Linked DNA regions of Cricetulus griseus. The protein of the gene in region 3 interacts with the protein of the main gene of each other region in a pairwise test. Links are inferred from orthologs where the notes say so. Each region holds a gene or a part of one and is shown on either strand. Other genes may lie near its edges. The genes, in order: Fxr2, Ccdc57, Pram1 and Skap1.

Region 1 (7,703 bases), on a different chromosome or scaffold from region 3:
CTTTTTTTTTTTTTTTTGGTTTTTCGAGACAGGGTTTCTCTGTGTAGCTTTGGAGCCTATCCTGGCACTCGCTCTGGAGACCAGGCTGGCCTCGAACTCACAGAGATCCGCCTGCCTCTGCCTCCTGAGTGTTGGGATTAAAGGCTTGCACCACCAATGCCCGGCTCAAGCCTAACCTTTTATCTAACTTGTTTTTTCCTTTTTTGGTGTTTTGAGACAGGGTTTCTCTGTGTAGCTTTGGAGCCTGTCCTGGAACTTACTCTGTAGACCAGGCTGGCCTCAAATTCACAGAGATCCTCCTGCCTGTCTCCAGAATGCGGGGATTAAAGGTGTGCGCCACCCCCCAGCTTTATCAAACTCTTTATCCAAAATGTCCAACTCCCAAGAATTTTCCCCCTAGGGTGAATGTAGACTTATTAAGTAAGTAGTAATGACCATTTATTTTTTTTCAACAAATGATGACTTCCAAGGTAATATGCTAAGCTCAGAGTAGAACCATCCTTCTGCAGCGTAACGCAATGCCACTTACCCTTTTATTACCTCCAGCATCTTTTTCCCTCCAACTATTTTCCAGAATACACGCTCTTTCCAACATCATATTCCAGCTCTACCTCTGCCTCTTAGTTCTACCCATTCACTTCAGAGACAAGGTTTTCTCTGGAGAACATGATGAAAAAGGAACTCCTAAGTTCTGTTTGGTCTATGCCACTGGAGAAACAGGCAAGTACATACCATAAAATCTGTTAGAAAGCTCTTAAGTTTCTAGCCGGGGGTTGGTGGCGCACGCCAGCACTCGGGAGGCAGAGGCAGGTGGATCTCTGTGAGTTTGAGACCAGCCTGGTCTCCAGAGCTAGTTCTAGGATAGCCTCCAAAGCCACAGAGAAACCCTGTCTCGAAAAAAAAAAAAACAAAAAAAGAAAGAAAGAAAGAAAGCTCTTAAGTTTCTAGACACTTTACTTTCCTTAAATAAAAAGATATGAAATTAGTCTCCATCTTCACCCCTCAGAAGAAAAGGAATTCTAGGACAAAGGAGCCAAGACAAAAAACATGTTTTCTAGCTGATAATGTCCCATTAAGAAAGAATGCTGGCCAGGCACACACCTTTAATCCCAGCACTCAGGAGGCAGAGGCAGGCGGATCTCTGTGAGTTCAAGGCCAGCCTGGTCTCCAGAGTGAGTGCCAGGATAGGCTCCAAAGCTATACAGAGAAACCCTGTCTGGGGTGGAGGGGGGAGAATGCTGGCCAGTTGGTGGTGGCACACGCCTTTAATGCCAGCACTAGAGGCAGAGGCAGGTGGGTCTGAGTTCCAGCCCAGCCACATCCACAGCACAAAGTTCCAAAACACCCAGAGCTACACAGAGAAACCCCATCTTGAAAAACAAAAACAAAATAGTAAAAAAGACAAAACAAACAAAACCCATTATGGGGGCTGGAGAGATGGCTCAGAGTTAAAACCACTGGCTGCTCTTCTAGAGTACCTCGGTTTAATTCCCAGCACCCACATGGCAACCCACAACTGTCTGTAACTCCAGGTCCATGGATCTGGCACCCCCACACAGGCATACAAGAAGGTAAACACCAATGCAAATAAAAATAAATAAATTATTTCAGGGGGAGAACAAAAGTATTTTTAAAAAAAATTATGAAGTTGGGGTTGGTGGTGTGTATACTTGGGAATTGGAGGCAGTAAGACCAGGAGTTCAAGGTCATCCTCAGCTAAAAGCCAGACCGAATCACCTGAGACCTTAAAACAAAAAAGGAGAGCTTGATAGGATACTTATAAAATAACTCAGATCTTAGACCTGGTATCTGCCCTGGAAAAAAAAAAAATCAATAAAACACAATTTTGAGAGAGGCAAAAAGAATCTCCTCAAATTTACAGATATAAAAGACAGGTTAACACTCCTTTACTCACACCAAAGTTTGCTGAGTCATGAATATTAATCAGCAAGGTTGGAATAGATAAGCAATCTCAATTTACTGAGTTTAGGAAAGTGCCAGACGGTGGTGGTACTCGCCTTTAATCCCAGCACTCCAGAGGCAGGGAGATCTCTGAATTCAAGGCCAGCCTGGTCTACAGAGTGAGTTCCAGGACAGCCAGGGCTACACAGAAAAACCCTGTCTCAGAAAACAAAACAAAAACCCATATGAGTTTAAGAAAGATTAGTCCAATTGTAAGGAACTGTTTTAACTCAGTCATGGGACAGAAATTGCTAAAGTGGTTAGAACACAGGATTTAAATTGCTAGGCTTAAATAAATACTAATAGATACTGTTAACTCTGTATCAGAGAATCTGGCCCCCTTCACTCAAATCTGTCACTGCTATGGCCCACAGGTAAAAATGAAAAAAATCCAGAGACTATCTGTTTGATACTGGATACTCACATATGTAACAGAAAACACACCCTTCCCAACCATTTCATACAGTTAATTTGAACTCAGCACTAATCCTTCTCAGCTGTGCAAGGCTCCCATGCTTTCTAGAACAAAAGTATCTTATCTTGATCTCATACTCAATTTAACAATCATTTTCCAAATTGGGCGTGGTTGTGGATGCTTTTAATCCCCTAGTCAACAGAAGCTGAACCATCCCAGTGAGTGTAGGCCAGCCCAGTCTACATCTACACAATGAGTTCCAGGAAAGCCAGGGCTACACAGAGAAACCCGGTCGCAAAAAAAAAAAAAAAAAAAAAGTGTGTGTGTGTGTCCTACAGAACCTGATAGGAATTTGAGACTTTTGCCACAGAAAACAAATGTTATCAAGATATTCTTCCAGTCAGAAGAAAAAGTACCAAGAGTTAGCAAGGAAAGTGATAGTGTCAGAGATCAGCTGGGAGCTTTCTTCAGCTATACAAAGAATAGATGGACATCAGTGAAGATTACACAGGAATACAGAAACATCAAGTTAAGGGCTGGAGAGATGGCTCCACAGTAAGAGCACTGGCTGCTCTTCCAGAAGACCCTGATTCAATTCCCAGCACCCACATGACAGCTCACAACTGTCTGTAACTGCAGTTCCAGGGGATCTGACACCCTCACACAGACATACATGCAAGCAATACACCATTGTACATAAAATTAAATATATATATCAAGATGAACAGCCCAAGATTTAATTGAGAGGATACGCTGAGACTAATAGATATGTACACCCATATGCACTGAATAAAGGGTAAAGAACTTAATCAGAAAAGGCAGGCAAAACTGGCATGGCATTTATAGTGAGTAAAATCCAACTTATCAGTCAAGTGGGGGCAGAAACCATCTACAAGGGCAAGCACAAGTCCTTCTTCAGCTACAAAAGATACAATTTCATAGTAGTCAGAGAAAGTAGTTTCCAAGGGCATGAGAAAGCAGAAAGGTCTCCTGGGGAAGGGGAATGGACCTGAGAACTCAAGTGAGGCAGCTCCTCTAACTTACCTGATGCTATGAAAATCCCTCTTCAGAGTAAAGAGTAAGGGGTGGATCAAAAGTTTCTAGGACAATTCCACACATAAAAGTCAACAGTTGGGCGGTGCTGGGGGCAGAGGCTATGAGCTTGAGGCCAGCCTGGTCTACAGAGCACAGGACAGCCAAGGTTACACAGAGAAACCCTGTCTTGGGGTACAAAAAACAAAAACAAAAAACCTCAAAAGAGGTTCAGAATTCCACCTACCAGATAAAGGAAAACAGTTGTGGAGCAAGAAGAGTCACTCTTAATCTAAACTGGAGGGGAGGGGGAGCCCAGATGCAGAGAGTCGGATGGATGTATGAATAGAAAGAAGGAAAAAACAAAAGGCCGGTCTGGTCTGATAGATCGAGGCTGTAATATAGTCACAGAATTTGAAAGGCTGAGGTAGGAGTTTAGCCTGGGCTAGGACATGTTACAACCCCACCCCCCAAAACACTTCAAAGGAATCAAATCTTGGGCAAAGAAATGCTGAAATTAGCAATTCTGAAAGATACTTTCTCTTTCCAGAAAAGACTGTCAACAAGTAGAAATCTGTTAGAATAAGGACAGAAAAGAAGCTTGCTGAGACACCCTTTTAAGGAAGCCTAAACTTAAGAAAACACAGGAATGACCTAAATGTAGCTGTAGTCTAAGAGAGAAACACGAATCCATCTCTGGGTAGCTGGTTTCGGGATAAAGGTGTGGTGGGGTGACAGACTTGTCCAACAAGACCACTTTTATGGCTGATAAAGCCTGAGGCCAAAGATGCTAAATAACACACGTGGGTTTTGATCATTTCTTCTTAGATGGAGACCTACAATATAAGATGAAAGTTGAGTAAATGGTTTAGAGCCAGTAGGCAGAAACCTCCCTGAAGACCGAAGACCTAATATGGGACAGTGGGCCTTCCCAAGAGGGTTATGTAGGAAAAGAAAGACTCTCCCATGTGCTTGTGCCGTGGAAAGGATGTGATTAGGAGCTGAAGTAGCTCCTCCACTAAGAAACAAGAAAAGTCAATTAGAAGCTGAGTAAAGGGGTTTCTCCGGAGGGACCAGGAGCGCCCATCCACGCGCAGTAATGACCTGATGTTCATGCTTTCAGCTGAGGATGAAAGCAGGTGTAACAGCGGGCTCAAAAAGAAAAAAGCACGAGGGTTAACTCCCACGGTCTCCCCGAGAGGGTGTCGAGTGGGAGCGTGGGTCGAGGTTCTAAGGGTCAGGACCGAGCTCCAGAAACTCGAGCCCGCTCCACTCTTCCCTGCTCCGGCTGGGGGAGGGGGCTAAGGAGGGTGTCCCGGGTCGACGCACCGTCTCACCTTGTAGAAGGCCCCGTTGGAGCCCCGCACCTCGACGGGCAGTCCCGGCTCCACATCCCCCCCAGAGGCCAGGCCGCCCATGGCGCCGCCACCACCTCCGACTGCCGCGGCAGCAGCGGAGGCAGAGCTCTGAGTGCGGGCCGGGCCGGGCCCCCGGCGTCTCCCAGGAGGAGGAGCTGGAGGGGGAGCCGCGGGGGGCGGGAGTCGGGCCGGCCCCACGGCGGCCCTGCTACAGCCGACGAGCAGGGGGCCGGGGCCGGGCCGCTCCCCGTCCGCCACTGCCTTGGTCTCCGCCACCGTGAGAGAAACGGCCGCCGCCGTCGCCTTCGTCACCTCAGCTTCCGCCCGCCGGCGCCCCCCGCTGCTGCCTCAGTCCGGGACCCGCTGCTGCCGCTGCCGCTCCACGGCCTCCACCTCCCCTGCCGCCGCCGCCGCCGCCTACTGCGCAGGCGCACAGGGCACCCGCCCGCCGCGCGCGGAGCCCGAGGGCCAAGGCGCAGGCGTCCAGGCTAGCGACCCAGCTCCGGCTCGCCAGCGCGTCAGGGCTTCCACATTCTCTTCTACTCTCTCACGCCCCCTCCTGGTCGCTCCTCTGCGCTTGCGCAGAACCAGATGAACGCTCTATCTCCAGCTCCCCAGCCTTCCACTATCCCTGTCCCTTCCTTTCCCCGCCCCACAACACTGTGAGCAAACCAATCACGAGAAGGGAGGGGCCGCGCCCGCTCCGTCGGATTGGACTTCCGCCTCCACCAAGTGAGCCCCACAGAGCCGGAGCAATTTAGGGATGGGCATGCGCCGGAATGACTGCTTGGTCACTTTCACCACCTTTGTCTTTCTTGGTGCGCACACTCCAAAGTGCGGGCAGGGGTGGGGGGGAGCCCGAAGGCAAAAAGTGTCCGGTGCGCACGCGCCCCGGGTTTTGGTGTCCATGCGCATGTGTTGACTCTCTGCATCTGTAGGAGATTCAAGAGTCACGGTTCTTGGCTGGAGTGGATTTTCTTAAGTTTGGTGAGACTGGGTCTCCTGTATCCTAGGCTGACCACGAACTCACTAAGCAGTTGGGGAGTGACCTTGAATTCCTGATACCTCCCAAGTGCAAAAATTACAGAAATGCCTGTCATTGCCCTGCTTGCCTTAAGTTGATTCTAGTAAATTCAAGCCCATATCGAAAAGAAAATGCAACATGATTTGATACATAAATGCTAAGGAAATTCAAGACAGGAAAAATTCTCAAACAAAACAAAACAAAATCGGTCCTTGAAGATGCTCAACTATAAAGCCTAACGACTGGGGTCAATTCCTGGAGCTACCCCCACCTCCAGCAAGTTGTCTTCTGACCATCACATGTGTGACATCACTCATGTTCACCCTCAGGACTTCTCTGTGTAGCCTTGGCTGTCCTGGAACTCGCTCTGTAGTGGGCCACCACTTTCCGGCTTAAAAAAAAATTGTAATTAATCCAAAAACCCCTACTAGCCCGGCAATGGTGCACGCCTTTAATCCCAGCACTTGGGAGGCAGAGACAGGAGGATCTCTGTGAGTTTAAGACCAGCCTGGTCTACAAGAGCTAGTTTCAGGACAGGCTCCAAAGCCACACAGAGAAAACCTGTCTAGAAAATAAATAAATACCCTACTAAAAGAAGCTAGAGAGATGGCTCAGTGGTCAAGAACACTTGCTGCTCTTCCAGAGGACCTGAGTTTGGTTCTTGGTACCCACATAGCAGCTCACAAACACTTGTAATTCTTTTTTTAAATTTTATTAATTTTTATTTTATATGCATTTGTATTTTGCCATGGGTGTGAGGTCCTCTGGAACTGGAATTACAGACAGTTGTGAGCTGCCACGTGGGTGCTGGGAATTGAACCCCGGTTCTCTGTAATTCTAGTTCTAGGAGACTGGACACTCATTATGACCTCTGTAGGCACCAGGCACACATGTGGCTCACATACATACATGGAGACAAAATACTCATACATAAAAGTTTTTTTTTTTTTCTTTCTGGGCTCGAGAGATGGCTCAAAGGTTAAGAGCACTGACTGCTCTTCCAGAGGTCCTGAGTTCAATTCCCAGCAACCACTTGGTGGCTCACAAACACCTTGAATGAGATCTGGTACCCTCTGCTGGCATGCAGGCAGAAGACTGTATACATAATAAATAAATAAATAAATAAAATCTTTAAAAAATATAAGTTTTTTTTTCTAAAAAAAAAAAAAGCCCTATTAGAGGCTTGCAGGATGGCTCAGCAAGTAAGAGTGTTTGTCACTGAGACTAGTGATGTCCACAGAACACGCGGAAGGGCTAAATAGAGTCCTGGAGGTGTCTTCTGACCTCCATAAGCATGCTTTTTAAGGGCATGGCCACACACATACAAAAATGAATGTTTTTAAAGTGTCCTATTAATGGGCTGGAGAGATGGCTCAGAGGCTAAGAGCACTGGCTGCTCTTTCAGAGGACCCGAGTTCAGTTCCCAGCAACCACATGGTGGCTCACAAGCATCTGTAATGAGATATGGTGCCCTATTCTGATGTACAGGCATACATGCAGGCAGAACACTGTATACATAATAAATAAATCTTTAAAAAAAAATAAAGTGTCCTATTAAGCCAGTGGTAGTGGTGGCAATGGCATTGCATCTAATACCATCAAAAAAAGGAAAAGGCAGGTAGATCTCTGAGTTTGGGCCCAACGTGGTCTACAGATTGAGTTCCAGGACAGCTAGAGCTGTGCAGAGAAACCCTGTTTTGAAAAACTAAAAAATAAAATGTCCAGTTAAGCATGGTAGATCTTTTCTGTAATTCTAAAATTTGTAAGGCAAAGATTTACAAGTTCCAAGCCAGGCCCAGACACACTAAGACTATAAACCAATTAAATAAATAGAAATGATAACTCTTATCAGAGGACAGATCATCTATATTTCATGTATTTATTATTATTATTGTATGTATATGTGTTCATG
Region 2 (7,228 bases), on a different chromosome or scaffold from region 3:
AGGCATGGTGGTGCACACCTTTAACCTCAGCACTTGAGAGGCACAGGCAGGTAGATCTCTGATTCCTAGGACAGGCGGTCTAAATAGCAAGTTACTTGGGGCTAGAGAGATAGCCCAGCAATTAAGAGCTCTGGCTGCTCTTCCAGAGGAGCTGGGTTCAATTCTCAGTACTCACGTGGTAACTAACAACTGTCAGTAACTCCAATTCCAGGGGAGCTGATGCAAACAAGCCCAGAGACAAATGCAGTGTACATGTTGCTGGCAAAACACTCATACACATTAAATTTTTTAATTACATAGTAAGTTCCAGGCCAGGCAATGCTAGATACCAAGACCCTGTCAAAAACTAAGACAAACAAAGCTTTAGTTTACATTTAATTTGACCATTTATTAACAATGAAAGCTAATTTGCACACTAATGAAATGGATGTGCTTGCTTATTTTCACATAGACAGTTAAATCTTGGCTGACTGACACGCAGAACATGAAGCATCTTCAAGTTTGTTCAAAGCTGGTTGATATTTCAACATCAATGATGAGAAGGCTGCTTTACATAAATATAGTACAAAATGACAGAAGTTTGTTCAGAGCCCTTTCATAAATGTTGTCTTTGGTCTAGAGAGATGACTCTCTAGAGTTTAGAGCAGAAGACCCAGGTTCAATTCCCAGCATCCATGTGGCAGCTCACAACCAACTATAACTGCAGTTCCAGGGAATATGATGCTCTCTTTTGGCCTCCAGGGACACCAGGCACACTTGTGGTACCCAGACATACAGGCAAAACAGACATACATGCAAGCAAAATATTCATATATGTAATATTATAAATATATATAAAGTAAATAAATATAAATACATCTAAAATTATTTTTTAGATTTTTTGCCCTAATCACAAACCAAATTCATTAAATTTTTATGTATGTATGTATGTATGTGAGAGAGAGAGAGAGAGAAGACTTGTATGTATGTACACAGGTAACTTAGAAGCCATAAGAGTGTGTTGGATCTCCTGGAGCTGGATATACAGGCTGTTGTGAACTACCAGTGCTGATGCTGAGAACTGAACCTGGATCCTCTGTAAAAACAAGCATTCTTAACTTCTGAACCATCTTTCTTAGTCCCCATTAATTTTTTAATTACATTTTATTTGGACTGTATATGGGCATGTATATAGAGATCAGAGGATAACTTGTAGGATTTTCTCATTCAGGTTCCAAGGATCTCACTCACATTTTCAGATTGAGGGTAGGTGACTTTACTTATGGACCCATCTTGCCAATGTAATAATTTTTTAAAAAGAAACATAAGTGATCCATCAGACAGTAATTTTTTTTGAGACAGGGTTTCTCTGTGTAACCTTGGCTGTCCTGGAACTCACTCTGCAGGTGGCCCTCGAACCCAGAGATCCTCCTGCCTCAGCCTCCCAAGTGCTAGGACTAAAGGCATGTGCCACCACTGCCTGGCATCAGACAGCAATTTTTTTGTTTTGTTTTGTTTTTCGAGACAGGGTTTCTCTGTATTGCTTTGGAGGCTGTCCTAGAACTTGCTCTGTAGACCAGGCTGGCCTCTAACTCACAGAGATCTGCCTGCCTCTGCCTCCTAAGTGCTGGGACTAAAGGCATGCGCCACCACCATCCGGCCAGACAGCAATTTTTAAAATTAAACGTTCTAACATAATAAAAGACAAAGATCTATAAAGATACATATTAAAGAATGATGGTAGGAAAATATTAAGTCTTTGTTTTCCTTAGGTAACTACTATGTGTGTAGAACAGAAAACTTTGTATGTACTATAAAAAACGTCACAATTCACTGGGCGATGGTGGTGCACACTTTTTTTTTTTAAGATTTTATTTATTTATTTATTTATTATGTATACAACATGCTGCTTCCATGTATATCTGCACACCAGAAGAGGGCGCCAGATCTCATAAAGATGGTTGTGAGCCACCATGTGGTTGCTGGGAATTGAACTCAGGACCTCTGGAAGAGCAGTCAGTGCTCTTAACCTCTGAGCCATCTCTCCAGCCCGGTGGCACACACCTTTAATCCCAGCACTTGGGAGGCAGAGGCGGGAGGATCTCTGTGAGTTCAAGGTCAGCCAGTCTACAGAGAGAGTGCCAGGACAGCCAGGGCTGTTACACAGAGGAACCCTGTCTCAAAAAAGCAAAAACAAACAAAAAATTACAATTCATGATGGACAGTGGTCTCAAGCCTGAGCCAAGATGTTTGAGGTAGCTGTTCTTCACTCCTGACTCTCTTGTTCCAGGAGCTGCTGCAGGAGTTCGAATCTGAAATTCAGAGAAAGGATCATGAGTTCCAACTGAGGGCTGATGATATGAGCAACGTAGTCTTGACCCATGAGCTCAAGGTAACTGTCCCTGCTGGGCTTTGCAGGCTTTCTGGCCTCCAGATTCCCGCTGTAATCACCCCGTGCTCACTGTTGCCCGCTGTAATCTCCCCCTGCGTGCTGCCAAGCACATTATTCTTCCCACCCAGCTACTCTCCTGGACCTTTTCAATCTCTCAGGTAAAACTGCTAAACAAAGAGCTGCAGGCTCTCAGAGAAGCTGGAGCACAGGCAACAGAGAGTCTGCAGAAGGCAAAAGCAGAGCACATCCAGTTGCAGAGGAAGCTACAGGACCATGCCCTGGAGCTCCAGAGTCTGGAGGCTGTAAAGGATGCTCGGTACGTGGGTTCTCCCCTACAGGCGCTGTGGCCGTCAGGACTAGATCCTGGTGACTCTGCCTTCCTAGCTTATTCCAGCTCTACTCTTTGGTCTCTTAGGTAACTGCTCCTTACTGATATGGTTTTTATTTAGGATAAAAGACTTGGAGAAGAAGCTTCAGTCTGTACAGCTGGCTAGGAAGAGAGCCGAGGAGACCTTCAGGAGGAAGTGAGTATTTGTGCCTGGGTGGATGTCTCTGGAAGAGTCTGGGTCATAGTCGCTGGAGACAAGGGCCCTATGATGGTAGCCTGTGCTCACACACCACTTTGCCTCCAAAATCTACTTCCTCAGAGATGGTTAGACCTTCAACATCTCAAAACTCAAAATGCTTCGAGGGCCAGGACCTCAGTTCGTTGGTAAAACACAAGCTTAGTGTGCCCAAAACTGTGGATTTACTCTCCAGTGCCAAAACAGGCTTTTAAAAAGCACAGCCTTAAAAGTTAGCTTTTATGGGTTAGTGAGATTGCTCTGTGCATAAAGTCACTTGCTACCACAGTGGGTGACCTGAGTTCCCTCTCTGGAACCCCACATGGTTAAAGATGAGAAGGGACTCCACACACATGCCCACCACTAAATAAATCAATACTTAAAAAATTAAAAGTTGACATTTGCAACTTGGATGTTTTATTGACTATAAGTTTTAGATTGTAGTCCCAAACTTTACCATGTTGACACAGTCACCTCTTATTCTCAAGGATGTGGATTCTCTGAGCTCTTTTCCTGCTGACCAGGGTAGGTTGGGACTCAGCCAACAGCAGCAGGTGTTTCACATTGCCAGGTGTCTGGGACACCCAGGAAGTAGATGGCGTGTTGGCTCAAGGTGGGAACTTCAACGGGGCAATTGACGCATTGCCCCTCCCCCAGGCTCCAGTGGGTTTAGGAGGTGCCAGAGCAGCAGAGTGGGGTCGGGGATGACGTGCTCCCAGACAGAAGAAGCTCAGCTCTAGGGTTTCAGCCCCCAGGGTTGACTTTCCCTTCGAAAGGAAACACAGTAACTAAGCTCCTGCTCGCTTAGGCGGCTTGGGAGGATGCTGTGTTGTAGGAGAGAGGATGAGGTGGGGACAAATTCTCTTGGGTTTTCTCACATTGTGATTTGTGCAGTTCAGACAAACGGATAAATTCAGGGAATTTTCAGGAATCTGCTGCTCTGGGAGGCAAGGAGTATCTGTACTCTCCATGGCTGGTCACGAGGCTAGGTGGTGTGTCAAGGGTGCTTTGTGAAGCAGTTCTGGTGTCTGTCTTGTGAGTTGGGGGGGGGCATCCAGGAGCCTGGCATCTAAGAATAGCTGCTTATACAGGAAGAACAAGCTCACCCATATGCTACGTCTGCAAAACTGAGAATAGGTAGGTGCTGCCTGCCGAGTCACCCATCTTGTCAGGGGTACTGTAGTGTAAGAAAGGATGACAAACAGAGCACTGAGTAAGCCATGGTGTGGGACTCTTCCCTGTGTTTCAGGAATGAAGAGCTTGACCGTCAGGCCAGGGAGAAAGACACATTGCTGGCAGCCGTGAAGGGCTCCCATGCAAAGCAGCTGCATGAGCTGGAGGCCAAGATGCTGGAGCTCCAAGCCCACTGTGAAACCCTTGAGGGCCAACTGCGCAAAGCCGAGTGGATTCGAGCTGATGATGCCAAGGAAAAGAATGCTCTCATTGACAAGTGAGCCAGCCATTGCCTCTGACCTGCCCTGCCCAACAGCCCTGTGTGCCTGTGCCCTGGGAAACTGCATGCAGCAGGTGGGAGGGGCTTTCGGGACTTTCCGGCCATTTTCTTTTCTAGCCATTTCTCTTATGTTTTCTTTTTAATTGTGTAGTTGTGGTAAAATATGCATAACAAAGTTTACTTACTATTTTTAGTTTTTGTTTTTCTAAGACAAGGTCTCATTTGGCCAAAGGTGGTCCAGAACTTCTCCATAGCCTTAGATGCCCTTGAGTTTATAACCCTGTGCCTCTACCTCCCAAGTGCTGGGACTGCAAGCATATGCCACTATACCTGGCCCTTTTAACCCCCTTAGACAGGGTTTCGATGTGTAGCCCAGGCTGCCCTCTAACTTATCTTCCTGCCTCACTTCCCAAGTGCTGGGGTTATAGGTGTGTGCCACCATGCCTGGCAAAGTTCACCACTCGGCTGTTTTTAGTGTAAAGGTCAGCGGCGTCAGTACATGATGAATGCCGTCGATTGGTAGACTCTCTCTCTCTCTCTCTCTCTCTCTCTCTCTGTTCCCACTCAGCACTGGCTCCCCTTCCTTCCCCCAGTCTTCTCCCTGCAGCCTCCAAACCACTTTCTCTGTGAATTTGCTAAGTCCAGGAACAGCGCACATTTATAATCTTATGGCACTTGCCCTAATATAACTGGCTTGTCACTGTCACAAAGACTCGAGTCCTCAAGGTTCACTCACATTTATAGACTGCTATTCTCTTAAATCATTGTGATTGTGTCAAAATACACATCTCCAGATGCCCTGGAGGACTCATTGGCCTCAAATGGTTATTGAGCCGCAGGTCCCAGCGTTGACATCTGGCCTATCATGCATATGCCCCACACACAAAACTTCCCCGTTCACACTCCTGCACTGACACACGAAAATGCCATGCATAACACAAGTTAACTATTTTAACGTGGCTGTTGAGTCAGTTTCTTCCTTTTAAGGCTGAAGGATACTCCCAATGCAAATAGGCTGCATTCTGTTTACCCACTCTGCACATATGGGTTGTTTTCACCGTGACCCCACAAGCAATGCTGTTGTAAGCTCAGATGTGCAGATCTCTCTTAGAGACTTTGCTTTCAAGTCTTTTGTGGATATGAACAGAATTGGAATTTCAGGACCATACAGCTCTGGGTCTAACGTTTTGTTTGTTTTTTTTTAAGACATCCTCCCTCTGTAGCCTTGGCTGGCCTGGAAGCCTTTATTCTTTTACCTCAGCCTAGTCAGTGCTGGAATTACAGATGTGCTCCAGTGCACCGGCTCCTTTCCAATGTCTAATGCAGGCCAGAGTGTTTGGGCAACCTGCTCCACTTATGCCTAGTGTCAGGAAACCGTGAGTGCTGGAGAACTGTTGTAATAGCACTGGGCGTTAGCACTGAGCCCCCATCCTGGGTGGTGAGGAAATGATCATGGGGACAGGACACTGTGTTCAGTAGAAACACTAAAGTCATGCCATTTGCTAATATTCCTAGACTTAGCAACTGGATATTTTGGGGATGGGTCTCTCTCTCTCTCTCTCTCTCTCTCTCTCTCTCTCTCTCTCTCTCTTTCTCTCTTTCTCCACAAATCACTGTCAAATTACATTTCTATCAGGGGAAGAAGTAGTCATAGAATTATGAGGTATCAAGAATTTTTTTGTTGTTTTTGTTTGTTTGTTTGTTTTTCGAGACAGGGTTTCTCTGTATTGTTTTGGAGCCTGTCCTGGAACTCACTCTGTAGATCAGGCTGGCCTCAAACTCACAGAGATCTGCCTGCCTCTGTCTCCCAAGTGCTGGGATTAAAGTGTGACATCAACGCTGGGCAAAGTATCAGGAAATTAAAGCTTATTCTGCATGGACTAGAGAGATGTCTCAGTGGTTAAGAGTGCTGACTGCTCCTCCAGGGGATCCAAGTTCAATCCTCAGCACTCACATGCAGACAAAATCCCCATATACATAAAGAAAAAAATAAAAAGTTTTAAATTGGCTGAGTGACGATGAATCTCTATGAGTTTGAGGCCAGCCTGGTCTACAGAGTGAGTTCCAGGACAGCCAGGGCTACATAGAGAAACCCTGTCTTGAAAAACCACATCAACAAAAAAATAAATTGTACTTTAAAATGCTTGTTCCACATTGCTTTGTTAAGTCTAGCATGCTCTTGTTAGCACAGTCTTGTTTGATCAGTGAGGCAGCCCACCTCAGTGAGCCAGCAATGCTCCAGGCGTGCTCTGGGTGCTGTGGGGGAGTGCCAGTTCATTGCTGAGTTTCCATTCCCTATCAGCATAGTTGCAGGGATGAGACCTCACAGAGCCTGGATGCTTCCTGCCTCCTCTTGAAGGCTTAAACTAAATGTTTTTGTTTTGGTTTTGAGAGAGGGTCTTGCTCTATATAGTCCTGGCTAGCTTAGAACTCATAATCCTCCTGCCTTAGCCTTCCAAGTGCTGGAATTACAATATGCCACACCCAGGTATAACTAGTTTTTAGTTTCTATCTCTAAGTATTTTTTGTTTATTAAGGCTTATTACTCCCCAGGCAGGGCATTATTATGACAATAGAAAACAGGACAGGGTGACATGTGCCTGTAATCTCAGAACTCTAAGGATGAGGCCGGAGGATCTCAAGCTGAAGGTCAGCCCAGGCTACAAACTAAAACCCATCTCAAGAGAGCACGTTCAGAAGTCTAAACTTGAATCTTCCCTCTTACTTCTGGGGAGTCAGTTACCGTCCTCATCTCCATCCCAAGCATGTAGTGGCATTCAGGGTCAGCCTCAGTGTTAAGGTGTTTAGCAGCTTCCCCTCTCAATGGGCTGCTCTAGAACC
Region 3 (7,922 bases):
TCCGTTTCCCTGGCAGAGAGCACAGTATAGTCAGTATGGGTCAACCCTGGTGTTCCCCATACCACCCAGGCAGGACCAACACTTACAACGGTAACAGTGCAGTTCTGGGTACATAGCCATCTGCAGGGGAGAGTAGATAGAGTAGATTCTCAACCCTAGAACACCTCACTCCTTTCCCTAGATGTGGGCCAAACACACTTACACTTGCCCTTGGGGTCCCGGCACAGCATCTCATCCTTGTTAGTAAACTCAATCACCTCCAGGATTTCGCCACGTCGGATGCCCAGGTGCTTGCCACCCCCACGCCGGGTCTTGGCATTGGGGTCAATCATCATCTTTGTGTGAATCACGATCTCGCCTTCAAACTTGGGGAACATCATGTTAAGACTTTGTATTTCTGCTGTTACCTTGGTTCCTTCCTCAGGGTGGAAGTCCGGGGTGCCTGGGTACCAGTATCTCCCAGCATTCTTTGTTCCATGTTCTCACCTTGAACTTCTTTCTAAACTCTCTCTCAGCTTTCTCTGCCTTCCTGATCTGTTTCAGCAGCTTGGGGTCTGTGGGTAGTGGCTGCTGGGGCTGACTGGCATTCTTCCTGGAAGACCCAGACATTGGGGTATTATTTATGAGTAAGAAGTGTCCTCTATCAGAGTCCCAGAGCTCAGCCCAGCACCATAACACCCCAAGTGCCCCATGTACCTGAGCTCTGTGTCCTGCAGAGGCAATCTGGTAGTTCGCTGGGTAGACTGCACTTCATCTGAGGACATTGGACAGAGTCAGGACAAAGGCTTGATGGGTGAACCTGCTCTGTAGGTACTTGGACCTTCCCTGAATCTCAACCACTTTTCTCCTATACCTTTCTCTCAGGGTTCATCAGTTCTTGTGAATAAGGTTCATTTCGGTGAGGAAAGTACAGGATGGGAAGTTGGTCAACTGTACAAGGCTACCCAGCTAGTGAAATTGTAAAGATGGGATGGATTTGTAGGCCTTGGTTTTTGGTCTCATTGTATAGACCAGGCTGGCCTGAAACTCAGATCTATCTATCCCTGAGTGTTAGGGTTAAAGCTGTGGTCACTATGACCAGCCCACAAGCTGTAGACTTTGGGAACCATTTTGCTTGCCTCCCAGAATATGTTGGGAGTTGTAGTAAGACTTGGGATTCAGAGCTAAAAGCAAGCATTCCCTTATAGCATCCAGAGCTTGCCTCTAAAGAGGAGCAACCAGGGTGGGGTTCTTTGGTTGGTTGGTTTTTTGAAGAAGGGTTTTTCCATGAAGCCCTGACTGTCCTGGAATTCACTCTATAGACCAGGCTGGCACTGAACTCAGATCCACCTGCCTCTGCCTCCACAGTGCTGGGATTAAAGTCGTACCATCACCACCTGGCCATGTAGGGTTTCTTAGCCTGAACCTTCAGCTGCCAAGACTGACTGGTATGGTTTCTCAGCAGGTTGACTTGTACCACTTCCTAGCAGTAGGCCAGGCTTCCAACTGTTGCTGAGGGTGACAGCCTCTTAAAGATGCAGGTTAGTGAGGGCCTGAATCAGAAGCCCCATTTTGTTAATGACTCAAATGTCACTTTGGACCAACTGTCCTTTCTGATGAGCAGCCCACAGAGGGGTGCCTGTCATACTCTATCTGGTCTCTGCTCTCTAGGCAGAGATCTGGGTCCTACCCAGAACTTGCACTGCACCTGCTTTTCTCATGATTTGCCTCAGCCTTGAGTGCTGTCACAGCTGGAAGCAAACTTGACTGGTGACAGTACTGAGCCCTGTGGTTCTGAGATCATCCTGCAGCTTGTTCTGAACAGGCCAATGATAATCTTTCTTTCATGTTGGTCTACACACAATCCTGGAAAGACTGGACCCCACCCTCCAGGTGAGTTCCCAGCTGAAAAAAGATGTAGGGGAGCTGCCATGTTCCAAAGGAGCCCAAGGATAAGAGGGAGGAGCTGGTGGTCCCAGGCCACTCTAGTACTGTACTAGAAAGATGACTCAGAAATGCACAAAGCAGCCTTTTGAGAGGCTATGCCCACAGGAAGGCTCACCCATTGCACTGAAAGGAGAAACTCAGATGGGTCTGGTATTTGATCATGCTTGAAGAATTGTGGGTAAAGATAGAGAGGTGGTTACTGAAGCAGTGTATGGGGGTGGTGGGAAATGGTCTATTAAATTCTAAAGGTTCTAACCCTAGCAACTGGCCAGAGCTCTGACCAGCCTCTCAGCAAAGCTTACAACCCCCCACTCCCCAAACCATAGAGCATCCCTTCAACAGAAGCACTAGGGGCCCTCTTGGAATAGACCAGGAGAAGCAAACAAAAGGCCCAGAAAGGAGCAAAGGTTGGAGAATTTGAAGGCATCTAGCTTTGTACCAGGACCTCCAGCTGGGAGCAAGCATATCCCAAAGCTAAAAGTCCCTCCTAGGAACCCTAGTAAGACAGGGAATAGCTAGGAGAGGAAGGGCTCAGTTGGAATCACCACAGCTCTAGACTGGCTGGGCCCAGTCTCAGATCCTTAAACTTCCTTGTTGGTAATGGGGTAACTGTCTTGGCTGCCGCTGCAGAATCATCAAAGCTCTTTCATGTTGTTATGGAGACACCAGTCCTGGAGCCCCTCAGGAAATTGACTTAGAAGACAGGAAAAGAACCTTCTGCTGCACTGCCTCCAGCCCACACCTCTCTCCTGATTCCAGGCGTACATCTTCTTGGGACATCTTCGTGGGATGGGCTGAAAGGAACCTGGTGGGTGGGGGTTGCTTTGGTTTTGTTTGCAAGGTCTCATGTGGTCCAGGCCGGTCTTGATTGCTGAGTAGCCAAAGCTGATGATCCTGCCTCCCAAATGCTAGAGTTACAGTATTATAATTAACCTTGCCCAGCTTTGGAACCTGATGCCATGCCACAATCTGACTCGTTCCCTGCTTGATATGCCACCTAGTCTGGTTTGCCCTTTTTGATTTCTGCAAAGCAGAAGGACAGTCCTTCTATTGCTGTCCAGGCCTTTTGTCACCTCACTTAACAATACTTATGCCTATTGTCAGCCTGGCTGGTTGGGTGTCTGGGCTTCCCCTTTCTCACTATCTGGCCCACCTGGATCCAGTCTGGTCTGGGTCACTTTGTTGTCTTAAACCTGGATCTTGAGAGAATGCCTTTGCAACTAATATTGAATGGGTGCCCAAGCCAACCACCTAGACCATTTATAAACCTCTGCCTCTGGGGCTGAGACTAGAGTCACCTGTGGCCTCCACAGCATCATAGAGCTCATAGATCTCGTCCGGGTTCCTGCAGGGATACCTGAGATGAGGGCCTCCTTTAGCCTTGCACCCATGCCTGGCCCCTTTCTCCCCACACTCACTGTGAGATATGTTGAAGTTGTTGGGCTGGGAAGTGGGTCCCAGAAGAGCCGCTCTTCAGTACAGCTGTGGAGGAGAGAACATGGGAGGGAAGTGGCTTTGCCCAGATATTTTACCCTCCTCTGCCTGAACCACTTACCCTAACTCACCTGTAGCTGTTGCTGAGGCTCTCCGGAAGCTTTGGATATTGATGGGGACGGGTGGTAATGGGGGCTTGGCTGGGGGGGATCCCAAGCTGCTGACTGAAGGCAGAGGTCGCCTCCGGGGCGGGTGCCGAATTTGGAAGTCTTCTGATCTCCAGCCGGGTGTCCCAGGGACTCCATACCCAGGGCTGAGGGAGAACTGGGGGCTGGAGCTGGCAAAGGCAGAGGGCAGGGAGCACTCGGATACTGAACCTGGAAGCTTGGGCTTTCTGGGCAGAGCCTTGGCAAAGTCAGGCTGCAGAGACTTCCTGGGGAGCAAGCCGAACTCAGGCTCCGAGGATGTTCTAGGGAGATGACCCAGTTCTGGCTGCGAGGGCTTCTTAGAGAGGGCTTGGAGGTCTGGCTGCTGAGGCTTCTTGGGAACTCTGTGGACTTCGGGCTCCGAAGATGTCCTGGTAAGGTCACTTACCTGGAGCTGTGGATGCTTCTTGGGAAATACATGGAAGTCTGGCTTCGGGGAGTGAGATGGGGGGTTACATGACTCAGGCTTCCAAGGTGGTGTCTGGGGGACCTCATAGGACATGGACTGCTGTGGAGACTTTGGGCAACCAATGGCCTGAGGATATGGAATCTTATCACTGAATTCAGACTGCAGGGACTTCTTGGGAAAGTTGCTGACATCAGGCTGTGGGGAGCGAGGGTAAAACTCACTGGACCCAGGCTTGGAGAGGGATGTCTGAGGAATTTCACTGGGTTCTGACTGTGTCAGGGACTTCCTAGAGAAACCAGCAGCCTGAGGCTGCAGTGACTTTTTGGGAAAAGTACTGGACTCAGGTGGCAAGGGCTTCAGAGGGGCCTCACTGGACTCTTGCTGCCAGAACTTTTTGGGGACTGTGATAGGTTTGAGCTCTACTGGGGGCTTGGCAGGATTGCTGAACTCAGGCTTCCGGGGCTTCTGGGCAGGTACAATAGGCTCCTGAGGTGCCTCAAGCGGTGGAGACTTCTTGGTGAGCTCACCAAACTCATGTTTGGGAAGCATCTTGGGGAGATTAATGAACTCAGGCTGTGGGGCCTTGGGGGGGCTGGCAAATTGGGGCTCTGGAGGCTTCTTGGAAGCTGTGAACTGCGTCTGTGAGGGCTTTTTGAGACCAGTGAACTCCAGATGTAGAGGCTTTCTTGGGAGATCTTTGAGCTCGGACTGTAGGGACTTCTTGGGTAGCTCAGTGAACTCAGGCTGCGGTGACTTTCTGAGAACCTCTGACTGCGAGGGCTTCTTGGGGAGTTCTGCAAACTGCATCTGCAGGGGTTTCAAGGACACTATCCCAAACTCAGTCTGTGAGGCCTTCTTGGGCTGCTCACTTAATTCAGTCTGTGGAAACTTCTTTAGGAGTTTGTTGAACTCAGGCTTTGGGGGTTTTCTGGATGGTTCTCCAGGTTCTTGCTGAGAGGCCTGGAACTTAGCTTGGAGGTTTCGGAAGTCCTGATTGCTTCCCTGGGAAGGCATAGCTCATTCAGAAAGTCTCATATGAGAAGGCAGATGGAGAAACAACTAGGTACCTACAGGTAGTTGGTCATAGACACAAACCCATCACCCCTTCCCTTCAGCTCGAATTCTACCATTGCTTCTCCCCCAACCACAGCACTACCTCAGCCAGCTTCTCTTTTTTGGTAAGAACTGTTCCTGGAAGCCACACCCTCCTGACTCCTCCAAGTTGAGTCTAACCTCATCTCTAACTGGACCTAGCTCCCGATGCCCCTCTACTAGCCCACAGCCCCCACGTGGTACTTACAGTCAGTGATGCCTTCCCAGCATCTTCTTCAACCTTTGGGCCTTCTGCTCCCTGTTGGTTCCCTCTTTGTCCCCTGCCTGGCCACCAGGTTCTCCCCAGTTCTTTTTGTTCCAATTTCAAAATACATCCGGAATTCAGCCACTACTCACTGTCGCCTCAGTTGGAGGAACTGCCCCCCACAGCCCAGAGTACTGTTGTAATGTGCTCCTCCCAGGTCTGCTGCCCTAGAGGAGGCCTGCTAAATCTCCAGTTCCCAATCTCTCAGTGAGTTTTCATGTCTCCCGGGAAAGCAAACAGTCCCTGAATGACTCAGCAACATCCCTCCCCATCTCATAGCCTCTGTCCTGTTCTCTTTGTATCTCCCATCACTAATCAAATTTCTTATATTGGTTCTGCTGTATATGAGGCAGGCTCTCATATATCCCAGGCTGGCCTCAAATTTGCTATGTACCTAAGGATAATGAACTCCTGATCCCCCTGGCTCTACCTCCCATGTGCTGGGATTACAGGTGTGTGCCACCATGCCTCGTTTGACTAAACTGTTAAAATTTTATGGGGGGGGGGGCAGTTTAAGAGCACGGTCTGTTCTTCCGAGTACCTGGGTTCAAATCCCAGCACCCACATGGCAGCTCACAACTGCCTTTATCTTCAAGATCAGACACCCTCACACAGACATACATGCAGGCAAGACACTGATGCACATAAAATAATAAAAACAAATTAAAAAAATTTTGTTTGGGAAAGGCTAGAGAGATTGTTCAGTAGGCAAAGTACTTGGCATATGAGCCTGAGTGTCTTGAGTTCTATCAGTACAGAGCAGCACCTATAATCCTACCTCTGGAGAGGCCCAGAGAGAAGGACCTCTAGGGCTTGCTGGCCAGCTAGGATAGCTAAGTCAACAAGCTCCAGGTGCAGTTGGAGACCTTGTCTCAAAAAAGAAGGTAGTGCGCCTTCAAGGAAGACCCAGCCTTCACACACATGCACACATGGCTGTCTACTTTAGCCCCTCTAGCCCATCAGTGACTTCCCAGTGCCTGGCACATAATAGGTACTCAGTGAAAATTTTACAGCAATAAAATACATGCAGGACTACAAAGACAGGCACACAATTCAGTCTAAGATGGTGGTATACACTGGGTGGGACAACACCCCATGAGAACCATCAGGCAGTCTCTCCACTTGAGCACATACACCATATGACATGCTCATAACTTCCAGTGCTCTCAAAGCTGGCCATTTGCCATGGGTTACAGATATAGGTAGATACACAAGACAAGGCCTTTTCTGAGGACTCTCCCAGCCTGCCTTCACCTAAGGTCAAGAAGATTGGGGGGGGGGAGAACCTTGTGATGAAGGAATTCAGAAGCACCCCTGGAAGGAAGCAATTCTTGCCTAGAGTCAGATGCCTTTATTGAAGTCCTAGTCAGTGAGTTGAGGCAACAACTCCAAATGAACACAGGGATAGATAAGGAAGGGTTAGCAAAGCAAAGCTTGGATGACTGGCTGGGGCTGGGAGGCTGGGGCCCCAGGTGCACGACCCACTTAATTACCGCACAGGAAGCCTCTGCTCTCATCCCAGATGCTGACCTGGGGTGAGGGGATATCATTCTAGGCAGCCCAACCTGCTCCTCTTACAGTCACAGATCCAAGCTGGTCCACAAGAGCTCAAGCTATGCTTTGGCTGTTCTCTGTCTTTGTCTGCACCATTTCATTCCCAAGACTGTTCCCAATTCTGTTCTGTCAAGCTACCCATGGGGGCATATCTACCAGTTCCCCAGTTTTCGCCTGTGCCCCTTGTTTCCTGGCCAGAATGGACTTCCACTGGGGGATTGGGGACTAACTCACCATAGCTTCAGCGGGTGATGGGCCACAGGATGAGTGGGCTCTGAGCTTAGGCTGCTGCTTGAAGGAAGTATCTGTGGTTTTCTGTTCCACAGACTGACACACCAAGTAGGGGCTGTCAGGGTGGGGAGGGCAGGAGGAAGGAGGCGGAAATGGCCTGTCACCCCCCTCCCCTTGAGTTCCTGCCTGCCTACTATTGTTCGCTAGCTCATGTCAACAGACCTAAGCACATCTCTTAATACACACAGTAACTGTCACTAGCCTCTTGTCCCCTATTGTCCCCTTTACTCTTAACACTATGGGGTCTTGATGGGCTTTGTCTCCAAAGAAGCAGGCCAAGCCCAAACTCAGGACAACTACAGGAACAGAGCACATGAGTGTGGATGTTACAGTTTGCTCTGGGGCTTAGGAAGTTTCTGTCAAGAGTTAGAGCTAGGATATGGCTGGTGCAATGGTGAGGACATAACTATCCTCCTGTGTTGCTTCATCTCCCTTGTTTCAACATGTGTACTCTCAATAGGACTTCCCTGTTAAGGTAACAAATGCCCCCCACTAGCCCAGCGAGATGGTCACCCAAAGCATAAGGCTCAACTGGGATAGCAGATTTGGGGTGTGGGGGTGTTAAAGACTTGCCACTGAGGCGAGGGAATATCATTGCCCCTGGGGAGGCAGGGGGTTTTAAGGATACCTCAAGTTCCCAGTAGTTAAAGGAAGTAGAGAGGGGAGAAATCCGAAGACTAGGTTGCGGAAGAATGGAAATGGCCCTTGAGAGTCCAAAGAGGGACCAAAGTAGACACAGGTAAAA
Region 4 (7,854 bases), on a different chromosome or scaffold from region 3:
ATAAACACACAGAGGCTTCTATTAATTATAAACTGTTTGGCCTATGGCTCAGGCTTCTTACTGGCTAGCTCTCTCTTAATTATTAACCCATTTCTATTCATCTTTGTATGTCCACATGGCCTTATCTTACCAGCGAGTGCCTGGGCGTCCTACATTCCCAGTAGCTACATGGTATCTCTCTGGTGGTTCCTCTCTACATTCCTCTTCCAGAATTCTCCTAGTCTGGTAGCCCTGCCTATACTTCCTGCCTGGCTATACCCTTCCTGTCCATTGGCCGAAACAGCTCTATTCATCAGCCAATAAGAGAAACACACATTCACAGCGTACAGAAGGACATCTCCCATTAATACACTTTGATCATAGGGTTTGGAGAGATTAAGCTGGTGCTATCCTGGAAGCATACTACATGCTGGCTAGTTTTCATAGTACCAGAAGTTTTACCAGCTGTGAAGGCTGAGAGCTAGTGATAACCAGCCTGGCAAGATACTTCTGAGGTGCAATCGTGACATGAACGTTATAGGGTAATCAACCACTTTTTGATTGGATTTAAGGCCTGCTCCATAGGAAAAAACTCATGCCTGGTGCAAAAATGCAGCCAAAAGCCTATGATGAGGGAGTTCCATTGGCCTTAGGGATGAACCTACTATAATTTTACTAATATGCCTTCTGAATATATCTTTCTATCCATAGATAAGTGCATCTCTCGGACCTCATCAGAGAAGCTTTTTGGTATGGACAACAGCAGCTAATGCAGAGACTTACAACCAGTCATAGTACAGAGAACAGGTGTCTGTGGAGGGCTCAAGAATAAAATAGACGTTTGAAGCATACTGCCCTCTCCTTGATGCTCAGAAAACATTGTGGAGCAGAGGACAAAAAGACTGCAAGTGTCACAGGGTGAAACAGTCCTCTGAACATGACAAGACCCTTTGCCCTAGGAGCTTACAACAGTCAATTGACCAAGACAGTCAATATTCCAGCATGGGTAGGGAGGGGCAGACCAGCGCCTAACATAAGCTGATGGTTTCTTGGGGAGGGAGAGTCAATTAGGGGTATGGTATGGTCCCCCTGGTAGATTCACCAAGATCCAGGGGATGTCCCATACCATGAGTGTCTGAGTAGGACAAACTGGACTTGGTGGGTTGAGAGGACATGACGTTGAACCGGATGTAGCTGGGATATGAGAGAGGTTGGAGGGGGAGGAAGGCAGTGAATATGATCAAAATACATTGCATGAATGCATGAGATTCTCAAGGAATGAATAAAGATATTATACTAAAACCTGTAGACTGAATTATATGTTGTCTACAAGAAATACACTTTAATATTAAAACACAGGAAGGCTGGAAGTAAAAGAATGGGAAACAATCAGCAAGACAGACAGAAAGACTAGGGAAGTCAGAACTGCCGCAGTGATGTCAGGCAAAGTATTCTTCAAGGCAGGGGAAAATACCAGAGATAAAGAAGGTTATTTCAAAATGACAAAAGGGCCACATCACTGGGAGACATAACAATTACAAAAGAATATGAACCCAGTAACTGAGCTTCCAAGTACTTGAAGCCAACTGACCTTTTTATAGAACAATATGTCCCATTGCTCTCTCCCTCTTGTCAGTGCTGATGAACCTGGGAACTTGTGTGTTCTAGGCAAGTGTTCTGTTGTTCCCATATCTCTAGCTCTATTAAGTCTTGATTAAAAATTTAAAAGAGAGACTGGAGTGATGGCTAGGTAGGTAAAATGCTTTCTGTTCAAACACAAGGACCTGATTTCAAATTCTGCTACCCAAGTAAAACCTGGGTACAGCAACGCTTGTAACACAATACGTGTGATCCCAAAGCTGATTAATCACCTGTCTGTAGCCGGGCGGTTGTGGTGCATGCCTTTAATCCCAGCACTAGGGAGGCAGAGGCAGATGGATCTCTGTTAGTTCGAGGCCAGCCTGGTCTACAAAGCAAGTTCCAGGACAGGCTCCAATGCTACAGGGAAACCCTGTCTCGAAAAAACAAAAACAAAAACAAACAACAAAAACAGAAGAAAGAAAATGACCCACAGCTGGATTTTATAGAGGCATTTCTCAATTAGGTTGGAAGATCTCAAATGTAGACTGTCATGACATAACCATCCTACAGATGGATGGAATAGCTTCACTGGAAGGAAAGGTGTTGACATAAGTAGACTCGGAAATGAGGAGTCAGTAAAATGACCATCCATGGTGCTGTGTGTGTGGCGGGGTGGGGGGTGGGAGGGTGTCTGTGTCTGCCTGTGCAAGTCTGTGTGTGTGTCCGTGTGTGTTTGTGTGTGTGTCTGGGTCCACATCTGTGTGTGTGTGTGTGTGTGTGTGTGTGTGTGTGTGTGTGTGTGTCTCTGTGGGTGTGTCTGTCTATGTGTTTGTGTGTGTAGTGCATGCTCACACTTATACTAGAGATAGAACTCAAGTCAGACAAGGATACAAGGTAAGACCTTGACAAAAAAAAAAAAAACATCTGAACAACAACAAAATAATCTTGAATTATAACCCAAATTATAAATAAATACTCTTAAGTTCATAAGTAATATAAGTAATTAAGTAAATTAACAAATGGGAAGTAAAAGACAGATCTATAGTGTAGAATTCAAAATAATTTATGTAGATATTTTACTCCAAGATAAAGGAAACATACCTCCCAATCCTTGGGTATGGGCTGTACACAGCCACTTTCTTCCAAAAGACTGCAGAAAGGAAAGGGGAAATAGAGCAACTCCACAGAGGAGAAACTTGACACCAGCCAGGTGTTCATGGTTCAACATCAACCATCATAAATCACACCGACAGTGTGGACCCTTGATGCAATGTGGTGAAAATGATACTTTTGTGATCTTCCTCCCTTAAGCCTGTAACCCAGTCTAAACCTGAGAAGAATGCTAGACACATTCTAATACAGGGTCATTCTGACATTTACCTGACCAGCACTCCTCAAAAGGTTACACTCATTAAAAACAAAGGGAGTGTGGGAGACAGTCACAGCTGTGAGGCACCCAAGAAGACCTGACTGTATCCTGGATAGGATCCTGAGATGGAAAAAGGGCATTAAGTAAAATCAGGAAAACTGAATGAACTGTGGGTTTTAGGTATGTGATGATGCTGGTACGTTAGACATAACCAAAGCACCTGTCATGGCTAATCTTGGCTGTCAGCTTGACTACATCTGGAATCAACTAAAACCCAAGCAGTCGGGCATGCCTGTGAGGGATTGTCTTCATCTCATCATTTGAGGTCAGAAGACCCACCCTAAATCAGGCTCATTTGAGGTCAGAAGACCCACCCTAAATCTGGGCCACACGTGCCGGTAGCCGCCCACATAAGAGGCCACGGAAGGAGGAAGCTTTTCATTTTGCCTGCTTGCCCTCTCTCCCACCATCAAGTTCAGCTATGTGGCAGCTGAGAGGTTCCTTTGCTGTTATTAGAACCCCCGTCTTCAGTATTTCAACACAGACCAGAGACCAGCTGAGATGTCTAGTTTCATGGACTGAAAAACTACTGGATTCTTGGCCCTTCTGTTGGCAAAGTGCACTGTTGGACCAACCAGACCACAGCGTGTAAACCATTCTAGTAAATTAATTCCGTTTCATGTAAATAGATCCATTCTATCAGTTCAGTTCCTCCAGAGGACCCTGACTAATGCAACACCACACAGACGTAAAATGTTCTAATTAAGAGAAAGTGGAGGAAAGAGAAGGGTTAAGGGAACTTGGCATCACCTGTTTAATATTCATGTAAACCTAAACTTTCCACAAAAATTCAATTAGTAAAAGCTGTAAACCATGTAATCTGAATGCGCTAAATCTGATTATTTAGCAAGATGGGTAAAAAACGCTAGCTTCCAAGACTGAACACAGGAGTGCAATTCCTGTGTCCCTTATGGTGGAAGGAGAAAATCAAGTCCTGAAAGTTACACACACACACACACACACACACACACACACACACACACACACACAAACTAACTAGAAAGTTAAAATATAGGGCTCGGTGCATTCATTTTAGAGTCACTGCCACACTCCGGTTGGGCACTGTGATGAGCATCAGAACTTCAGCAGAGGTCACTACCAGGTGGTGGAACGGCAGCTATTCTTACCATCTTATTTGTATTTCTAGATGTGTGTCTATTTCTAAGTTGTATGTTTCAGAATAGAAAAAAATAGTACAATAAAAATCAGTGTAAACCCTGAGATACTCACGGTTTAGAGACCCTTTACTTTCCATTCCCCACCCTGGATTCATTCAGTGGTAGAGGACCTGACTGGCTTTCACATAGTCCTTAACAGGGTAGGGTTCCAATGGGCAGGTACAGGAAGTGGGCAGCAAAGATGATGCTATGTTTGGGTCCTATGGCACAAGCCCATGATCCTAGCTACTCAGGAAGCTGGGGCAGGAGGATGGAAAGTGGAAGGCCAGCCTTAGCAATTCAGTGATGCACTTTCTCAAAATAAAAATACAAAAGGCACTGGAGATATTACTCAGTGATAGGGTATTACCTACCTTGCTCAGGCCTGGGTTCAGTCTCCTGTAGTATATGATGATGATGATGGTGATGATAAAGAAATCTTATGTGATGTGGTAAGTCAAACTGTTCACTTTCTTCTTGTAGAACACACATGGATATGAACTTGTGCACACACACACACACACACACACACATACACACACACACACACACACACACACACACACACACACACACACGCACACACGAAATCATTGAATTTACCTACTAAATTCTTCCTCCACCCAGTTTTACTGAGGTAAAGTTGATATTGGTCCTTACTAAGTTCTTGTAAGTAAAATACCTGCCTACTCCATATGCGGAAATGTACCAATGGGTTATAATTACGGCCCTGTCGAGGCTGCTAAGGATGAGTTGATTCTTTTCTTAAAACTTGTCCTGTTTTAGTTTTCCTTCCGATTAATTATGAGAAAGCCTTTCCTTAGATACTTCAGGAGTGAAGTGTTTGTTTCTTTACCTGCAATCAGCATCTTCTTGGAGAAGTAAAAAGACACAATGATGACCTCTGCCATTGATCTCATTGTTTATTTAGAATGCACTCTACAGATACACCCACAAGCTTTCTAGGTGAAATATAGAGCCAAGAAAACAAGAAGTCAGAAGGAAGGGCTACATGCAGGCTTGTGTTTTTGATATTGCGTTCAGCCTCCAGCAAAATCCTGATATGAAAACACTAAGGAAAGAAATTAGAGAAACTACTTCACTCTTTGATTGAGAAGGTGGAGCTTCTCACGGTGAGAACCCAAGGGGCCTGGGCAAGCCGTCTCGAAGATGCCAGATAGGAAAGAGATCTCAAGCTGTCCTGCAATGCCCCACCTCTCTCTAGTCACCATTCTGCTAGTAGGTTTTCCCATTAAGTAGATAACAGATTTGCTAACAAGAGCTCTTTGTGGGGACTGGAGCTTGCCTGGTGTATATGCAAGCTCCTGGATTTGACATTTGGCACTCAATTTCTTTAAAAAGCTGCCAGATCGAGATGCCTTGGGGTCTCTGCAACTGCAATATCCAGTGTCAATAAGGAGGATGAGGCACTCATGGGGTCTGCCCAACAGTTGCCTTCAGCTAGAGAGTGAGCAATACCATGTGACACTCAAGTCCTCATAGGAAAAGATGCCAGCCACCTGCCATAAACAATGACACACACAAATGCCTCTATTCTTCATCACGTATTCAATGGGCACCGGGAAAACGAGCAGGACACACACGAGCAAAGGACAGACAGTCAAATGCACAACTAGAATTATGACAGGAGCTACCAAAAAGGGAAGTGCGGAGCGTAGGAGTGACATTCACAAATGTCTCTGGAGGTCAGGGACAGAGGTGAGTTACAGAGAATGAAGAGATTTAAACTTGAAGAGCTAAACAAGGTCAGGAGGGGAAAGAAAGGCGGCAATGTTCATCTAGAAGGCACACTCATAAACACATAGTATGGTGCACTACAGTAACACACGATTGCTTTAAATCTCATATTTAAAAGGTAAACACAGCTTTGGCAAAGACATTAAAATTCACACCTGCCCTAAAAGGAAAACGCCCTCAGGTTTCAGACATCTGTGCAAGGAAGTCAGAACAGGAAAGAAAAAAATAAATAAATAAAGGACTGGGACAAGGGAGTAGAAGGCATGTACCACACTGGAGGCACAATACGGTCATCATGTCCCAGCAAATACCCACTAATGCGCTAAGGCTGCCTGCCAGGAGGGGCCCAGACCTCCTGGTTCAAGGCTAGTAAGAGTGTCTGATATTTTCCCCAAATTCTCTGACCTTGTCCCTTTACAAAGTCACTATTTTGTTTATTTGGAGAAGAATAACATCTTAAGGGTCACATTTTTTTTTTCCTAACGACTGAAAGATAAATGTGGCTTCTTCCTGTTTTCTCAAAAACACTCCTGACACTCTGGGGGGAAAATACTTCAGTCAGTGCCGCTAACAGTTGCAAATGTTCTTTGTTGATATATGTTTCTAAAACTCAAAAGTTTGCTTCAATCAACCTTTTATTTGGAGGCAAGATGAATGACCCAGTGCTGCTGAAAACAATTCCACCAACCAAATACCAATAAAAGTGTTCCTAGAGGGGATATTGTGTGAAAGAATTTGAACCGCTAAAGCAGAACTCGCATTTCTGAGAAGAATAATGGATACATTTCTGCCTGTAACTGGCATTGCACCCAAGAAAACAGTTGAGGTGTTTGTTTTGGTCTGTGGGTAAAAAGGATTAAGATAGGTCAAAAATGTTAATTTTAACTAATTAATTGAATTAATTCCATGGACTTACTGGCTAGTACTCCAGGTTTCTTTTGCTCTAAGAAGAACCCCCAAATTATCTGCATATACCATTTAAGCATAAATGACTGTCCTAGCCAGGCAAGACCACAGAAATGCCCAGCTTCTCTGGTTACATTGAGTTAATCCCTGTTTTACTTCAACAACCCTCTGCTGATTTCTGCCATTAATACCTGACCCTTCCCAGGCTCTTCCTTTTATCAATACATCTCCACACCTTTTCTTCCTTATTGCCCATAGATATTTTATTAGTCAGGGCACACTGTGTGGACAGTTTTGTCTACTGTATTTCTACTTCTAGTTTTTTACTTGCTGTTGTCTGTGAGCATTTGCTTAGGACACCACTACTGTTTGAATGCCTGTGTCTCCCCCAAATCCACATGCTGAAACACAGCCACCAATGTGGTAGTATTAAAAGGTGGGACTTTTGGAAGGTTATTGACTGTCCTGATGGAAGTCAGAGCTCTAATAAAAAGAGGCCCTAGGGTCACTACTTGCCCCTTTTACCACGCAAGGGCACAGAAAGTGTCATCTCTAAAAAGTCAAGCAGGTCCTCACCAGACATCAAATCTGAAAGTGTTTTGGTCTTAACTCCCTAGTCTGGAAAACTATGAAAAATAAATATTTGCTGCTTACAAACTGTTTATAGCATAAATGAATATTTGTGGCTTATAAACTGTTTTGTTAGAGCAGCCCAAACGGCCTAAGACAATTATTAAATACTGCTCCCCTGCCTTCAACGGGCTTAGAAGTTACACATTTTAGCATTTTGTCCGTAGTCTGCTTTACCCTTATGATTTAAAAAAGAATGTAATCCTGTCCCTCAAGTTAACAAATATTAATGAGCTGGTGTCTTTTGGTTCTTTCTGTCAATGTGAAGATTTCTAGCCAAGAAAATAATCAATGTTTTATTATGTACATTATGTTTCAAGAACTTGACATGTGTGCATTTATATGACATTTCAAAATCATATCTATAATAACATTTTTCCAGTCACCCTTGTTGATTGCTTACTTTTTGTATCA

Evidence for each region.
Region 1: the proteins of Pram1 (region 3) and Fxr2 interact in binary tests that used the Homo sapiens proteins (3 or more experiments, as listed by UniProt). The two-hybrid records come from large-scale screens. The link is inferred for Cricetulus griseus from reciprocal best matches to the Homo sapiens genes PRAM1 and FXR2.
Region 2: the proteins of Pram1 (region 3) and Ccdc57 interact in binary tests that used the Homo sapiens proteins (3 or more experiments, as listed by UniProt). The two-hybrid records come from large-scale screens. The link is inferred for Cricetulus griseus from reciprocal best matches to the Homo sapiens genes PRAM1 and CCDC57.
Region 4: the proteins of Pram1 (region 3) and Skap1 interact in binary tests that used the Homo sapiens proteins (3 or more experiments, as listed by UniProt). The two-hybrid records come from large-scale screens. The link is inferred for Cricetulus griseus from reciprocal best matches to the Homo sapiens genes PRAM1 and SKAP1.

Annotation. Positions count from the first base shown.
Region 1 is NC_048600.1:83,474,155-83,481,857, reverse strand, and holds the start of Fxr2 (fragile X mental retardation syndrome-related protein 2), read right to left. Parts: upstream 5,184-7,703; 5' UTR 4,828-5,183; coding exon 4,747-4,827; intron 1-4,746. UniProt on the Homo sapiens protein: mRNA-binding protein that acts as a regulator of mRNAs translation and/or stability, and which is required for adult hippocampal neurogenesis. Specifically binds to AU-rich elements (AREs) in the 3'-UTR of target mRNAs.
Region 2 is NC_048600.1:133,382,690-133,389,917, reverse strand, and holds part of Ccdc57 (coiled-coil domain-containing protein 57), read left to right. Parts: intron 1-2,269; coding exon 2,270-2,371; intron 2,372-2,529; coding exon 2,530-2,687; intron 2,688-2,820; coding exon 2,821-2,895; intron 2,896-4,183; coding exon 4,184-4,384; intron 4,385-7,228. UniProt on the Homo sapiens protein: Pleiotropic regulator of centriole duplication, mitosis, and ciliogenesis. Critical interface between centrosome and microtubule-mediated cellular processes. Centriole duplication protein required for recruitment of CEP63, CEP152, and PLK4 to the centrosome.
Region 3 is NC_048598.1:95,321,503-95,329,424, forward strand, and holds Pram1 (PML-RARA-regulated adapter molecule 1), read right to left. Parts: upstream 4,990-7,922; coding exon 3,492-4,989; intron 3,409-3,491; coding exon 3,345-3,408; intron 3,272-3,344; coding exon 3,195-3,271; intron 755-3,194; coding exon 697-754; intron 593-696; coding exon 487-592; intron 366-486; coding exon 203-365; intron 121-202; coding exon 83-120; downstream 1-82. UniProt on the Homo sapiens protein: May be involved in myeloid differentiation. May be involved in integrin signaling in neutrophils. Binds to PtdIns(4)P.
Region 4 is NC_048600.1:109,633,543-109,641,396, reverse strand, and holds the start of Skap1 (src kinase-associated phosphoprotein 1), read right to left. Parts: upstream 5,058-7,854; coding exon 5,003-5,057; intron 1-5,002. UniProt on the Homo sapiens protein: Positively regulates T-cell receptor signaling by enhancing the MAP kinase pathway. Required for optimal conjugation between T-cells and antigen-presenting cells by promoting the clustering of integrin ITGAL on the surface of T-cells.